Linked DNA regions of Rattus norvegicus. The protein of the gene in region 1 interacts with the protein of each later gene in a pairwise test. Links are inferred from orthologs where the notes say so. Each region holds a gene or a part of one and is shown in the gene's direction. Other genes may lie near its edges.

Region 1 (5,326 bases):
ACAACGTGTTCACATACATAAAATAAATCTTAAAGATCTCAAAAAAAAAAAAATCCTTTTTGAACAGCCATTCAAAGGTAAGGATGGGTGAATCTCTGGTTTCTAGGCCAACCTGGTCTGTAAAACAAGTACCAGGACTGTCAGGACTACACAGAGAAACCCTGTCTCGAATAGCAAAAGAATGTATGAAGCTCAGTTTTAGCAATATTTAAAACAAAACTTTGACCCTTATTCTGAGTGAAAGAAATGAAAAGAATATTTGGGAAGAGTTCATTTGCTATGCCAAAGTTCTGAGGAAGATTAGTGTAACGGGCTTCATCATCTGACACATTTCAAAGGTCACTCCTCTTTGTGTTAAAAAAAAAAAAAAGATGTTTATAACCCTTGGGCCAATTTGCAAGGTCAGTGAGAGCTGGATTTGGACCTGGGGCTGTCCTAAATTTAATCTTAAATTTTACTTTGGGAACACCGATTAAACTTGAAGCTTTCTGAAGCAGTAGCCAAGTTACCAAGGTAGAAGTGACAGATTTTAAAAACCCTCTTTTTACTCTTCTGTCCTCTTAGAAAGTGACTTCCTGGTACCAGGTTAGCTTGGTTCAGCTGTTTTGGTCCTTTTGTTCTCAGTACTGAGGAGGCGAAGGAGGGAACTCCAGGCCTTACAATTTTCGATATGATTTATCAGCCGAGTCATAACCCCCCACCCCCACCCCCACCCCCCATAACACACACACACTCTGAGCTGCTTTGCTGGTCAAAACGTCTGACAAATTGCCCCTTTGATAGAACCACCGTGGGCCAGAAAGGACCAGGCTTATTTGGGCTCACTATGTGGTCTCTCAGGTTTCTTTTAAACTTCCAGGGACTTTAAAGAACCTGGTAATTTGCTTATTTATTTTATTTTTTAAAGAATATAAATCTAAGATAGTTGAAGTCCGTATTTAGCATGGCTTCCCCATAACACCCATTAATCAGTTCGAAGCGTTCCATCATCTGAATTGTTCCTCTACCCATCCATCCCTCCGAATGAAGCGCTCCCCTAGCTACCTGAAGTACTCAAATCAATCAAGTGAAGCGCCCCGCAAATGATTCCCCCAAAGTCTGGCTGCAAATGACGCCCTTTAAGAGTTCGTGCATCTTTCGTGTTCTCAAAACGCCTGTTAACACTGTTGGCGAAAAGGCAGCAGCATTAGGCACAGGTGCTCACATGGGGACGCTTGTCTTCCAGTCAGCAGGTGCCACGGGAACCTAAAAGCGTCCCTTGCCCATCTAGCCTCCGCATAGGATGCCACTGCGCATCCTCTACTCAGCTGAGCAGACAGGCCCCTCGGCGCCTTTGAGATACAGCAGAAGACAGGTAGGGAGTAGAGAGGCCACAAACGTTCAGGAAGATTTGGGTGAGAGACTAGCGACGGCGGTTGAACCGCTTCCTTCCGCTCCGCCTCCCGCGGGCCACACCCCTGCACTCTGATTGGCCAGAGTCTTTCAGCTCCGCGCAGCTTCACTCTCCTTTGACCTGGATTTCAAGTCATGCGCTAGCTGCCGGTTGGCCTGGCTTCCCAGAAGCCGGAGTGCGGTCTATCCAATGAGGAGCGAGTTTCGCGAGGGCTGTCGGGAAAGGCAGCGAGCCTATATAAGCGGCCTGCGGGGCGTTCCCCCCCGCGCTCGGGTTACCGTGCTGGTGTTGGGTTTGGTGTGTTCGCGCTCGTTGATAACCGTGCGTCTGGAACGATGGCCGAGGGGGATAACCGCAGCAGCAACCTGCTGGTGAGTCGCAGTGGTCAGTTTGTCTCCAGAGCTCCCGGATGGACCTCCTGGTCTTGGTGAACTACAGGGGCAGCCAGGCCTGATCCTGGGACTCCCTGCCCATCTCCACGGTGGTGGTCCTTGCTGCCGATCCCCAACGTCCCCCGGGGAGCGTGCACTACAAGGCTTGGACCGTGAGTGTGGAAATGTGAGAAGGGGTCTGTGGCAAGAAGGAACCTGGGTAGCAGGTTGGGGCACTCGGCCGCAAGGGGCCTTGTCTAGCGTTCCCGGCTCAGGCCGGAGAGACCTACCTGTTTTGCCCTCTGATCTTAATTTCATGTTTCGTAGATTATTATTATTTTTTCTTTTTTTCGGAGCTGGGGACCGAACCCAGGGCCTTGTGCTTGCTAGGCAAGCGCTCTACCACTGAGCTAAATCCCCAGCCCCTCGTAGATTATTTTTAATCATGATTCTTTTTTCCCTAAAACTTGGCGCAAGGATGGAGGGTCAAAGGGCTGCTACAGAGAATTAGTTTATCGCTGACACAGAATTTGTTGGAGTTGCTTGGTTGGAGTTCACCGCAGGAAGCTGAAAACGGGTTATGCGGAAAGGACAGTGGGAGATCCTGGCACTTGTCTGGGAACTGACGAGGGACTCACCGGACTGGTTGCAACTTTAAAATGATTAGCACAGATTTTTTTTTCTTTTTTTTCGGAGCTGGGGACCGAACCCAGGGCCTTGCGCTTGCTAGGCAAGCGCTCTACCACTGAGCTAAATCCCCAACCCCGATTAGCACAGATTTGAAGGAGCTGCAGGAGATGGTATTAAAGGAGGGCATGTTTGCTTCATTACAAGTTTTTGTTTTTGTTTTTTTAAGGCTAGGTTTTCGTGTATCCTGACCTATCGAGGTTAGCCTTGTATTTGTCATCCTCCTGTCTCCACCTCTCAAGCGCTGGGATTACAGTTGAGCATCACCAGGCCCTGTTTTAAATTTTAAACTGCACGTAGGCAAGAACGAAAGATCATTCCCCTCCCCCCGCCCTGTAATGTCATTCCCCAGAAAAGGCAGACCATATCAGAAATGAAAATAGCAATCAGATTTTAATCAGCTTTTTCACTTTTTCTGAGAGCCTAAGTGCCGACAAGTGACTTTGGGACAGTTTTGATTGTACAAGATTTTCAGTTTGTATTCGTGTTTAAATGTGAATGCCCTGTATCCTTGAATTCCCTCTACACAGACACACACACACACACACACACACACACACACACACACACAGTACATAAGCAAACAATCCAATAGAGATGCCTGCCCTGCATCCTAAATCTTACCCTACACAATACACATACACCAACAAACAATCCAGTAAGAGGATTAATTGCTGTACAGGGAAACTCCCACAGGAGAGGGCCTCTATTTCCATCAATGCAGTATCATTTTAAGGAGAGCAAGGCCATTAGTCTTATGTTTCCTGGATTTAAATATATTAGCCTCTTTGTGTCTCAGTCTCCTCATCTTAAAGTAGAGGTTGTAAGAATACCTTTTCCAGTTTGAGGAGCATTAATTGAAGTTTAACATGTAAAAGGTTAAGAATTTCTAGTGTGGGGTGACGTCAGAAGTTCTTAGTCACATATTTCATCTTTACTAAAATTAGCCTCAACCGTACTATCATTTGCATACTACTTTGTGAAAAGTTGATGTATCGGTTGAGCTTTGTGTGTTTGTGGTTCCTGGATGTTGAATCCAGGGTTCTGCACAGACTGAGCAACTGCTGGGTTCTAATTTCCTTCCTTTACTAAAGTCCCTGATAGGTCTAGGCCACAATAGCCCATGGTGAAGGTACGCTTTTGACTGGTTGTCGCATATGCAGAGAAACTTTGAGATTTAATTGAAATTCCATCATTAACAAGAAGAAGCCATTATGGAGAACTTTTAAGTGCTGAGGTCACATAATTTGGTTAGAATAGTTTTCTTTAATTCCACAGTGACTGCCAATACCAGAGTTATTCTATTATACTATTAATAGTATAAATACTATTATGTATTTAGTATTAAGGGAAAAGTTCTCCTGATGGATTTAGAAGGGCTTAAATCAATAAATTGACCAATCAACAGATCAATGCCAACCACCTGAAATGAGCAAACAGAATATTCAATTTAGTAATATTCTGAGCACTGCCTCATGGCTCTGTGGGTACATTGGGGATATTGGTTAACCATATTAAGCTCACCTTCATGAATATTGAAATACATTGTGAAACCTTGGCAGTATGATGATACATCATGGACATGTGTCCCAGTGCTAAAGTGACCATTAAAGCCTATGCTTTCTCCTGCCCACGGATTTTCATGTTTGTGTACCAAAAGTGCAGTTTTTCATGACTCACCTTGTTTAAGATAACAGTTTTGTTAAAGGCATTTTATGTGTATTTGATGACTTAGAAAGATTTTACTCACTTGAGCCACCAAAGTGTTGAGATTGGGGAAGTGACACTGTAACACTGTTGGTCATGCGTAGGCCGTGGAGACTGCAAGTCTTGAAGAGCAGCTGCAAGGCTGGGGAGAAGTGATGCTGATGGCTGACAAAGTCCTTCGGTGGGAAAGAGCCTGGTTTCCACCTGCCATTATGGGTGTGGTCTCCCTGCTGTTCCTGTAAGTGAGAGATTCTATTGCTAAATGCTCCGAGGGTTCATAGCCTATGCTTAGAGAAGCTTTTGTACTACATAATCCAAGAGGAATGCCTTTATTTCAAGCAGCTTGCCCACTTTCTAGAATTTGTAGTCCTTATGTAAAATTGTAAGTTAATACTGTTGAATAAATTCCAGACACTCAAACTCTTATTTCAACACTCTTGCTTTATATTATTTTCTACTAAATATTGAGGTCTCCAGAGTTTTTGACTATCGTTGTTTACATTAAGCACTTTTTTAACTGTGACAACATCATGCCGTGGTACCTCGAGAAAACCCTTTGTGAGGAAATTAGAAAGGAAACAGCACCATCTCTGAGAAGCTGAGGGTGAAGAGTGAACCTCTTTGACTAGGAATAATGACCACTGTGGTTCTCTAACCTTGGTTAATTTTCTTTGTTTTTAATAGGATTATCTATTATCTCGATCCATCTGTGCTGTCCGGTGTTTCCTGTTTTGTCATGTTTTTGTGCCTGGCTGACTACCTTGTTCCCATTCTAGCACCAAGGATTTTTGGCTCTAATAAATGGTAGGTGGCTCTGCATGATTAGTGTGCTGTGCTTAAAGAAGACGATTGTCTAGCCATCAGATATCTTCTAGGAGTTAGAGTCATTGCTCTTAAGTGAAGAATTTCATACCTAATTTCAAATGTATATCAAGAACTTTTAGTGCACTATCTAGTTCACTTTGGTCAAAAATTTGCTTTTGATTGTCTATTTAGTTTTATTTCTATACCTTAAGTAAGGATATTTTTTAAAGGTGATATTTAACTAAGAATTCCAGAACTCTTTTTTTTTTTTTTTTAACTACATAATGTTTGTTTGAGGGGTAGGGGTACATGCACCATAACATGCATGTGGGGATCAGAGGGCAACTTTCCAGAATTTGTTTTT
Region 2 (5,545 bases), on another chromosome or scaffold:
GTGTGGGGCCTAGAGATTGAACTCAGGTTAATCAGGCTTGACTACTACCTACTGAGACATCTCCCAGGCTTTAAAAAAATATTTTTTGTTGTAATTTTTGAGCCATTGTCACTAAGTATCCATGGCTGTCCTGAAATCATAAGTAGACCAGGATGATCACAAACTCACAGAGATATGTCCTCCTCTGACTACTGCTAATAAAACATCTTTTTTTTTTTTTTTTTTTTTCCGAGCTGGGGACCAAACCCAGGGCCTTGCGCAAGACCCTGGGTTTGGTCCCCAGCTCCGAAAAAAAGAAAAGAAAAAAAAAAGCATGCATCACCATGCCAGGCAAATTTAAAAATAATTTAAGCAGCATTATTAGCCAGGCCTGTGGTACTTGACTTTAATCCTAGCACGGGGGAGGCAGAGGCCCCTGAGTACATTGTAGCTGTCTTCAGATGCACCAGAAGAGGGCATCAGATCCCATTACAGATGGTTGTGAACCACCATGTGGTTGCTGGGAATTGAACTCAGGACCTCTGGAAGAGCAGTCAGCGCTCTAACCACTGAGCCATCACTCCAGCCCCTAGCTGACATCTCTCCACTTAACATTCCTTATTTTTACTTAAAAAGAAATTCTGTTATATGTGTGGGTGACCATGAATGATGTCATATGTGTGATGGTCAGGAGACAACTTGCAGGAGGTGGGGGATATCTCCTTCCATCTTGTGGGTCTAGGAATACAACTCCAGTTGTTAAGGTTGATAGTTGAGCCATCTTTCCAGGCCAGGATGTTTTAGTTACTCTGTGACAATTTTTCCTGTTTTGAATCTCCTCAGCATTTATGTATCAGGTTATGTGGCACTTTGTTTTTCACAGGGCATTGAGTTTACTAGAATATTAGAATCAACTTAGGGCAAGCATGGAAATGACATGCCTGTAATTTTTGCACTTGGGAGGCGAAGGTTGGAGGATCAGGAATTCAAGGTCATTCCCGCACTACACGGTCAGCCTAGGATACAGGAGACCCTGTCTCACAAAACTTAAAAAAAAAAAAATCTACTCAAGCCAAGAACCGTGACTCTTGATTCTCCTACGGATGCAGAGAGTCAACACATGCGCATGGACACCAAAGCCCAGCGCCTGCGCACTGGGCAGTTTTTTTCCTTTCGGTCCCAACCCTCCCAGCCCCCCTTTGGAGTGTGCGCACCGAGAAAGACAAAGGTGGTGAAAGTGACCAAGCAGTCATTCCGGCGCATGCCCATCCCTAAATTGCCCAGGCTCCATGGGGGCTCACTTTGTGGAGGCGGAAGTCCAATCCGACGGAGCGAGCGCGGCCCCTCTCTTCCCTTGATTGGTTTGCTTCCAGTGTTGTGGGGCGGGGAAAGGAAGGGACAGGGACAGTGGAAGGTTGGAGCGGTACAGATAGAGCGCTCATCTCGTTCTGCGCAAGCGCAGAGACGCGACCAGGAGGGGGCGTGAGAGAGTGCAAGAGAATGTGGAAGCCCTGACGCGCTGGCGAGCGGGAGCTAGGTCGCTAGCCTAGACGCCTGCGCCTTGGCCCTCCGGCTCCGCGCGCGGCGGGCGGGTGCCCTGTGCGCCTGCGCAGTAGGCGGCGGCGGCAGGGGGAGGTGGAGGCCGTGGAGCGGCAGCGGCAGCAGCGGGTCCCGGGACTGAGGCAGCAGCGGGGGCGCCGGCGGGCGGAAGCTGAGGTGACGAAGGCGGCGGCGGCGGCGGCCGTTTCCCTCACGGTGGCGGAGACCAAGGCAGCGGCGGCGGCGGACGGGGAGCGGCCCGGCCCCGGCCCCCTGCTCGTCGGCTGTAGCAGGGCCGCCGTGGGGCCGGCCCGGCTCCCGCCCCCCGCGGCTCCCCCTCCGGCTCCTCCTCCTGGGAGACGCCGGGGGCCCGGCCCGGCCCGCACTCAGGGCTCTGTTTCAGCTGCTGCCGGGGCAGTCGGAGGTGGTGGCGGCGCCATGGGCGGCCTGGCCTCTGGGGGGGATGTGGAGCCGGGACTGCCCGTCGAGGTGCGGGGCTCCAACGGGGCCTTCTACAAGGTGAGACGGCGCGTCGACCCGGGACACACTCCTTAGCCCCCTCCCCCAGCCGAGGCAGGGAAGAGTGCAGCGGGATCGAGTTTCTGGAGCTTAGTCCTGACCCTTCGAACCTTCGACCCACGTTCCCACTCGAAACCCTCCCGGGGAGATCGTGGGAGTTAACCCTCGTGCTTTTATTTTTGAGCCCGCTATTACACCTGCTTTTATCCTCAGCTGAAGGCATGAACATCAGGTCATTACTATGCGTGGATGGGAACCCTGGAGAAACCCCTTTTCTTAGCTTCTAATCGACTTTTCTTGTTTTTTAGTGTAGGAGATACTTCAGCTTTTAATCACATCTCCCCTACAGCCAAGCACATGGAGGATTCCCTTTCTTTTCCTACATGACCCCCTTGTGAAGGTCCACTGTGCCATATTAGGTCTTCGGTCTTCAGGGAGGCTTCTTTGCCTACTGGCTCTAGAACCATTTGCTCAACTTTCATCTTACATTCCTGTTCCCAGTCTGACAAGAAATGGTCAGAACCCATTTGTTACTTTAGCATCTTTGGCCTCAGGTTTTATCAGCCAGCCAGCCAGCCATTTAGTGGATTTGTTGGACAAGTCTGTCACCTACCACACCTTTATACCAAAGCCAGCTCTCCAGGGATGGATTCGTGTTTTATCTCTTTGACTCTAGATGTATTTAGGTCATTCCTATATCTTCTTGGTAAGTTTAAGCCTCACCATCTCTAAAAGGCCATCTCCACATGCTTCTGTTCTTCTGATTTCTGCTTGTTGACAGTCTTTTTGGAAAGAAAAAAGTAGCTTTCAGAATTGCTTATTTCAGCTTTTTCTTTGTCCAAGATTTGATTCCTGTGAACTTTTTTGAGGGGTGTGGTTGGGACAAGATTCCCTGGCTGGACTTGAACTCTTCTGTACTCCTTCCTCAGCCTAGGGTTACAGTTCTGGGATTATAGATTGAGCCACCATGCCAGACCAGAACTTTTGTTTTTTCTTTCTATCCATTATCCACCCCATCTTCTGTATCTGAGTCCATTCTGGATCCCCTTCACCCCTAATTTAGATTCAGACTGATTCTTCTCACCCCTCAGGTATTTTCTTCATCTGATCTTGTGGGGTTCTGAACCTCTTCTGCATTTTTTTGGATGGAATTGTCCTGGAAATTTTGGTTCCTCTCTTACTCCTTTCATTCTGGAGAAGAAGAATTTTCATAGCATTAGATGGGAGATGAGATTCCTTTTTCCTTCATGTTTCTTCTGGTTGTCTGTCCCCCTACCCTAGTAGAACTTTCTACTTTCTCATGCCCTTGGAAATAACTTTGACTACTATGAAATTGTATCTTTTTGTAGCTGAAAAGGGACGGGTCTGCCCCGCCTCTGTAGGTGTTTCCTACCCCCACTTCAACTGACCCGTTAGTTACCCACTGTGAAGGCCATGGCAATTTCCCCTTTTCTGATCACGTTCTTCACCCAGTGCCTATGGGTACACATATCTCCTAGCTTTAATTTAGCCTCTCAATTAAGTCTTGGTACTTTTGTACTCCTGTGGATCCTCATTGAGGTCCACCTATCTATCCTTTGTATAGCTGAAGAAGGTTCCCTGTCACTTTCCTAACTCTTGGTACTTTTTTTCTTACTAGAAGAATGTCTTTGTAACATTTCTGTTTTCTGTAGCAAAAGTCTCTTAATTCCTTTTGGGCTCTGATGGGGCTCTGGGGCTCCTTTCCCCCACATTTGTATTACCTTTGTTAAAAGTGTCCTCAGGCTGGGTATGGTGGTGCCTACTCTAATCCTAGGACTTGGAAGACTGAAGTAGGATTGTTGAAGTTCAAAACTAGTGTGGAGAATGAAATCAGACTGAAAAAACAACCCAAACAAAACCAAAAAGTACTCTATAAGTTGTTAGTTCTATTTTTCTTGATATGTTAGCCTTCATCTGTATCTTTCTCACCCCAAAATGTTAAATTCCAAGAAAAGTGAGATATGTATATATATATCTATATATATATCTATATCATATTTTTCTTTTCCTTTTTTTTTTTTTTTTTTTTTCTTTGCTTTGATTTTTGGGGACAGGATTTCTCTTTGTAGCTTTGGCTGCCCTGAACTCAAACTCACTGAGATAGGTTTGCCTTTGTTGAGTGCTGGGATTAAAAGCAGCATCCACAACCACTCCTAGTTTGAAAAGTGATTCTTCAATTGAGTGTGAGATCAAGATAAGATATTTGCTTTTGGTTTAAGGAAGCATGGAAGCCATGCGCAGCTGGGACATGGGACAGATCAGTGCTCAGTTCAAATTAACTGTATGAAGTGGTTGCAAAGGGACATGTTTTCTGTTACACATATGGGTAGCAAACAGAAAGTCTCTTTTGACTTTTGTCATTTTATCCTATGGGCCTATGGGCCATAGCAGTGATAGATTTGAGTGAAGCAGAGACAGGATTCTTTGATAGTATAGAGTTAACAGTTGAATAAAAGCCAAATAACATAGATTTTGTGTTCTGGCCACTTCACTTTCTGCTCCATGACTGAGTAAAAGGCAATTCCCTAAAATTAGACTAATCCTTTTTAAACTCAGTGTACACTGTAGATACTTGCGTATTCCAAGTTGATTAATATTCATGACTCAGCAAACTTTGATGTGAGTAAGGGAGTATTAACTGTCTTTTAGATCTTTTTAAGTTTGGGGAGATCCCTTTCTCCTTTCAAAAAACTGTGTTTTACTTTGATTTTTTTCCTAGGGCCTATAGATACCAGATCTGAGGTCTAAGTTATTTTAGAACTATCCTCTCAAACTTTCCTTTTCTGTCAGGATGATATGTTTTGTTTTAAGGTGAGTTTCAGGTGGCTTGGGCTTTTAGCTGGGGATGACCTTGAACTCCTGGTTTTACTGGCTTCATTTCCCAAGTGCTGGGATTACAGGTACACACCACCAACCCCAACTTCATAGTGTGTTTTAATTCTTTTTTGTCTGTGTTTTTGGGAGGAAGTTTTATAATAGTTCAAGCTCGAGCTTATGATTCTCCTAGCTCTTCCTCCTACTGACTAGAATTTTATGGGTCTGTGCCATCTCACCTGGCATTACTTTCATTCTTTAAGTTGTCCTTTTTTCACATGAAATCCATATTCACTTTCTGCTGTAGTCAATCTTATTTTCTGTACCTTGTCTGGGTTTCTTTTTCTTCTGAGACAGAATTTCCTCTGTGTGACTTCTCTGGAAGTCACTCTAGGTTAGGCTGGCCTTGGAAGGTGTGGGCCACCACCACCCTATAAGACGGGTCTTGCTGTGTGTACCTGGAGCCTGTTTTGTTGACCATGCTAAGCATGAACTTGAGGTCTCTCATCGTAGCCTTCCACATGCTAGGCAAGTATCCTTCCACTGAAGTGCTCCAGGCAGCCCACTTCCAGTCTCTTCCTTCTTTTTTCCTTCCCCTTTCTCCCTTTTTCATCTTTTTTTTTAAGATTTATTCATTTATTATATATAAGTACACTGTAGCTGTTTTCAGATA
Region 3 (5,345 bases), on another chromosome or scaffold:
AGCTGTCTCCTAAGCCAGATACTAAAGAGATTTACAAAATCGTAACGCAGAGCTGTTCCTCTTGCTGTTCTGTCTTTGAAAATATAGATCATAAAATATTTTAACAAAATATCTTTGGGGTTTAATTTTATGCCTGCCTATGGATGTCTTGCTTGCACGTTAAGTAGTACTCCTCATGAGTGTAGTGCTCCTAGAGGCTAGATGAGGGTGTCAGAACAGTGGATGAGAGCCCTCATATGTGTTCTGGGAACTGAACCCAGGTCTTCTGCAAGAACAAGTGCTCTTAACTGATGTGCTTTCTCTCTCCTGCCTCAGTCTCTCAATTTTTATTTCTAAGTCAATGACTGTCCTACATTTCCCAATACTATAAGATGTCCTTATGATTTCAAATGTTTGTTTAAAGGGATCCTGAGATCAAAGGTCTGAGAAGTTCTGTTTTGAGTTGTAGGACTAATATCCGTCTGGATAGGTAACTACCATTGTGCTTTGGGAGTAGCTCAAGGCCACAGTCAGTGTAGTGCTGTGTTTCCCTCTCACCCACATTCTTATTAGTGCTCATAAGTTTTTAAGGGGAGTTGGGATTGAGAAATGACTTTGAGGTTAAGAGCACCTTTTGCCCTTGTATAGGGGCAGAGTTCAGTTCTCAGCACCCACACAATGGTCCCAACCACTTGTAACTCCAGTCCTAGGAGATCTAAGGCCCTCATCTGTCCCCTAAGGGTTTCAGGTAGATCTATGGTACACACCCATACTTATAGGCAAAATACTCAGCTACGCAAAATAAAAAGTAATAAATATTCATTTTTGGTGTGAGTATGCCTCGATCCATTGAAGTTGGAGTTGCAGGAATTTGTGAGCGGCGTGAATTTGTGGGTGCTGAATTCATCTTCTCAAGTCATTTCTACAGCTGTTTTGCTTTTAAGCACCCCAAGCTAGCCTGAAACTAATGTAGTTGGCGTTGGCCTTCAGTTCCTGCCTCTGCTTCCAAGTGGTGGGATTACAGATGTAAAATTAACTTTTTAACAGATCAGAGAGGCTTTTCGTTTGTATCTTCAGACAGCTTCAGTCTATATCCTGGAACTCACTTTGTCTTCAACTTTCCAAGTGTTAGGATTCGGGGCATGAGCCATTTCCATTGGCTTAAGAGGAATTTAGATATCTCTATAATTAGCATTTTCACCGGCTTTTTCTTGTTTACTAACTGCATGGGCCTGCTTTGGGTTTGACAACTGTTTGAGGAGTTGTCAACTTCGTGTGTTTTTTGCTGGGATAATCCGTGGCTTTTCCAAATTTAACTGGCAGTGCCCTTGACATTTCAGATGGGGAATTGCAACCTCCGAGATTCAAGCCTGGACTATCGAGATCGTCTAAAGCTTCTGGAACGCGAGAAACCTCCCACTCTAATTACTCTGTAACACCCAGGAGATACTTAGGATCCCAAGATGCTTTCGCCGGCCTTTAAAGACTTCCTGAGCGTTGATTGGCCCGCCTGACGGCCGTGGGCGGAACGCGGCACCCGAGTGGACTTCACCGGGTCTCGGTCCTTGCGCTCCGCCTCTCACGCCCCAAGCGATTTCCGGAAAGATGTGGATTTCAGCTGAGGCCTGGGCGTGGCGGTGATTCTCCGCTGACCGGCGATCACCACTGAGAGCCCTGGTCTTCAGGGGTGGGGCGTCCTGGACACTCAGGATTGGCCCGTCGGGAGCCGCCTCCCGTCGTGCACTGGGGCGCCGGCGACTCACCCGGAAGGAGAAGCCGGAATCTGCATCTGGCTATATGGTTCGGTGCTGGTGGTGTCGCTATAGAGAGCTGCTGCTGCTGCTCTCAGGTGAGGGGGCGTGGGCGGGGCCGCGGCTCGTAGGTGCTGCTGGGGAATGGGTTGTCGACTTGAGCAGTAGTGGTGACATTTAAGTGTTGGCCTCGGTTGACACGCTAGGGAAGGTGCGTCTTACCGCCCGGTGTGAAAGTGAGGGCTTGCTGGGACCCAAGAAGAAAGGAAGCCTGGCTTTTCAATATACTTTGAAATTAGAAGGTGTCTTTCCGTTCCGAGTTTTGCCGGGAAAAGAGAGGGACCATTTTGGCTGGTTTCCATCTAAGTTTGCTAAAGAATGGAAAGGAGTGGCCGGAGTCAGAATTTAGGGATGTCTACCCAAGTGGCCGGGAGTGGAAGGAAATGGGAGATACTTTTCGCAGATACTGGAAATTATGCTCGCCTTTATTACTTTCAGCTGAAAGGAGTAGGTTACCGACTGAAAGGTGAAACAGCTGTTTGATGGACAGGCCAGGTTGTCTGGCGGAAGAGTCTCCTCGAACACCCGTGGGGTATTTAGAAAGGCGAGGTTTTTGAGTCGCTGTCTGTAACACCAGAGGCTCAAGAGTGAGCAAGAAAGGTCTCCTTGGTGCAATCTTTTTTTACAGCCTGATGTGTTTTTAACGTGTCCCTTGAAGTAGTTTAAGTGGGAGAGAAAATGAGAAGGCTTTGAATTGCTCCCCTGAATTAGCAGTTGCGAGCTTTACAATGCGTCAAACTTAGTACACTCCCGAAAGCTCTGGCCCTTCCCCAGGACTGTTGGTGCCAGTATTGTTGAGGGAAGCAAAGAACACTTGAGGCAGGATGGAAAAGGCCGCGGAAATGTAGTTAGCATTGAGCAAGCTTCTTAACCTTTGGAGGTTACTTGATTCTGTCCTTCCTTTATGGGTACACAGGTCCGCCTCTTCGGACAGGTCATAGAGTTGAAGTTCAGAACTCGATGCTTCTCCAGGAATGGAACTGAGCTCCGTTTTCTTCCGAAAGAGTGGTCTTTTTAGGAAGGATGTCAACTGGGAGCAGTGGTTGTTAGAAATGGAGCCTGGTTTTTGCAGTGTCAGCGTTTTAAGGAAATTGACAACCAGAAACTCCTCAGTGCCCTTTGAACGTCCAGAGTCGCAGGAGGCTTGGAGCGCCTTAAAAGCCAGTTTATGGTTATTTGTTTCTGTATGACAGTAGCTCCAAAATAAAGGAGAAAAACTTCCACATGGGGGTGCTGCAGGCCCCTAACAAACTCTTCTTTAGACCAAACGTCTGATGACATCCTCTAAGTGCGTAGATGACCTTTCTTGTCATCTTTTCTGTTGTACTACAAACACAAACCAACCCAAACCAAAAACCACTTCAGAATACTTAACTTTCTGTTCTTCTGCTGGCGGTCAGCAAGTGCCTAAAAAGAGAAGAGGGGGGATCCCATCAGGTTAATTATTCACAGAAAGTCTGTTGGCTTTGGTCACAGATCTTTGTCTATTTCATCTGGACTGTCGTATTGGGTTATTGGGGGATTGAGGTCCCCTGCATTTCAGTTTAGGGGCTCTTGGAGGTGGCGACTGCTCTGGAGGAAAAGTCAGATCGTCAGCAAGAATGCTGTTTATTATGGTGCCGACATCACAAAACCTCCAGGTTTGCTCCACAGCCTAGCTCAGTTTTGTCAATCTGCCGCGTGGAGCTTTGTCCCTGCGTGTGGGGTCTGTCTGTAGAGACACCTTCTGGGATGTTGGAAAGAATTGCGAAAGCTGTTTGCTCTGCTAATTTCATGCTATAAACGAGTTCCCCTTCCTTTGAAACATTAGCCCTATGTTAGCAAAACATAAAATAGACGGAAGCTCATTACGCACTCTTCTAATGGTGAGGCAGAACTAATAAGAGAATGTGTTTAAAATTAATTGTGGGACTGTAAAAGCGAGTGGGTGTGCGAATGGGCATGGGAGGAGGAGAGGGAGAGCTTAGAGATGGTCTCGTTTTCCCAGGAGCCAGCCGGGATCGTTTGTTGGCAGTACATATTGGCTGAAGTCAGTTTTCATTTCAAGGTAAATTGGAAAGGGAAATTAAACCTTATTGTTCTGCTCTTAAGAGAGAGGAAGGGGTGGAGGCGGCAGGCAGGGTGGATGCTGTTGGAGTGGTTCTAGGAGTAACAAGATTAGTGCTGTATTTTAACAGAAGGTGACATCATGGGCCCCTTTGGAATCCAGTAACCCTGTGCTACAGCCTTCATGGTCCCCTTGTTGGAGTGGGCGATGTCGCTGTACACATAAACTGCCACACTGGGGGAAATCAGTGGCTTAGGCTTTAATGAATCTTTACAAAGGAGCAGAACGCATCCTGAGTTGACCCGAGAAGCTGTGGGGTGCTCAGGCAGAGGTGCAAACCGGATGGCGGGCGTGTCAGGATGGGAATTGATTATAACGGTTGGCTCCATTTCTGGGGAGCTGGTAAGAGAAGGTGGTAAACTGTAACTGGACTCTTCAGTTGGGTGCTCCTAGGACCACTCACCTGAATGGAGGTGACCTTTGGTTAGCCAGACAAAGAGAGATTGGTAATTGTGAGGAATTAGTTGTCTCTAAACAACCAGGAGGGGGCGCTGGTAGGCTCCTTTTCAAAGCTGAGTTCAGAAGACTGCTAAGCCGCAGTCCTCCAGCAAAAGTTTACAATGGAACCCACCTGCCTCTCTGGCCACAACACACTCTCCTCATGTCCCCAGGAGCTCTAGACTGAGGTGGCCTTTAGAGTGTCCACCTTTAGTAGTAGTCTGGATGGAGGCAAATTCCCCAGGGTTTTTAGCTAATATGGGGTTTTCCCCCTTCCTCTTTCAGGTTTTACACATAATTGGGGTTGAGGGGAAAGTTACCTACCTGGATTTCCCCAAGGGACGTCTGTGAAAAACTTTTGGGGGTTTTGCTCTGCGAGAACCCAGTACGGACACGCTAACTGTGCGTCCTTCCATGTCCTCTGCTCCTCCCCAGATGTTCTCTTCCGATGGGCTTTTGGTGTAGGATGTTGGAGAACCAAGAGCTGGAGGTAAGCAGGGTCTCCAGGTGGGTCAGAGTCGGAGGGCCACTTAGGGGGAGGGGACACAGATGGCAGAGCATCGTCTGCGGTGCTTTTTCCCTGTTAATACTCTTGGTGTTTCAAATTAAAGCCAGGAGAAGGAAAGAAGTAGCAGGTGTGTGTGCTGAGAAGCGAGCCTCCTTACTAACTCTCCCATTGGTTAGAATGTCCTAGAATGTTGTAAGCCCTTTTAAAATGAAGTTTTCGGTTATCACCCAAGACATGGGGCTCATTAGGACATTTCGTACACGTTTATCATTGTACTTTGTTCTTATTTGTTTACTGTTTCCCCGTGCACATTAAACTCAGGGCCTTGTGGGTGCTCAGCTCGAGAGTGAGCCATACGTTTCTCTTCCTAGCTCTCTTTTTATTTATTGAGAGAGTCTCTCTGTATAGTCCCGTTTGGCCTAGAGCTTGCTAAGTGGACCCGGCTGACACTCAACTTGATGGCAGTCCTCCTGCCTCTCCCTGAGTGTTGGGATTACAGGAG

Evidence for each region. The genes of interacting proteins can lie anywhere in the genome.
Region 2: the proteins of Arl6ip1 (region 1) and Fxr2 interact in binary tests that used the Homo sapiens proteins (3 or more experiments, as listed by UniProt). The two-hybrid records come from large-scale screens. The link is inferred for Rattus norvegicus from reciprocal best matches to the Homo sapiens genes ARL6IP1 and FXR2.
Region 3: the proteins of Arl6ip1 (region 1) and Snx11 interact in binary tests that used the Homo sapiens proteins (3 or more experiments, as listed by UniProt). The two-hybrid records come from large-scale screens. The link is inferred for Rattus norvegicus from reciprocal best matches to the Homo sapiens genes ARL6IP1 and SNX11.

The regions. Positions count from the first base shown.
Region 1 is NC_086019.1:181,870,580-181,875,905, reverse strand, and holds the start of Arl6ip1 (ADP-ribosylation factor-like protein 6-interacting protein 1), read left to right. Parts: upstream 1-1,673; 5' UTR 1,674-1,728; coding exon 1,729-1,764; intron 1,765-4,262; coding exon 4,263-4,396; intron 4,397-4,842; coding exon 4,843-4,962; intron 4,963-5,326. UniProt on the Homo sapiens protein: Positively regulates SLC1A1/EAAC1-mediated glutamate transport by increasing its affinity for glutamate in a PKC activity-dependent manner.
Region 2 is NC_086028.1:54,847,732-54,853,276, forward strand, and holds the start of Fxr2 (RNA-binding protein FXR2), read left to right. Parts: upstream 1-1,937; 5' UTR 1,938-1,956; coding exon 1,957-2,037; intron 2,038-5,545. UniProt on the Homo sapiens protein: mRNA-binding protein that acts as a regulator of mRNAs translation and/or stability, and which is required for adult hippocampal neurogenesis. Specifically binds to AU-rich elements (AREs) in the 3'-UTR of target mRNAs.
Region 3 is NC_086028.1:82,245,559-82,250,903, reverse strand, and holds the start of Snx11 (sorting nexin-11), read left to right. Parts: upstream 1-1,737; 5' UTR 1,738-1,828; intron 1,829-2,706; exon of another isoform or gene 2,707-3,430; intron 3,431-3,777; 5' UTR 3,778-3,837; intron 3,838-4,620; exon of another isoform or gene 4,621-4,770; 5' UTR 4,771-4,783; coding exon 4,784-4,825; intron 4,826-5,345. UniProt on the Homo sapiens protein: Phosphoinositide-binding protein involved in protein sorting and membrane trafficking in endosomes. Regulates the levels of TRPV3 by promoting its trafficking from the cell membrane to lysosome for degradation.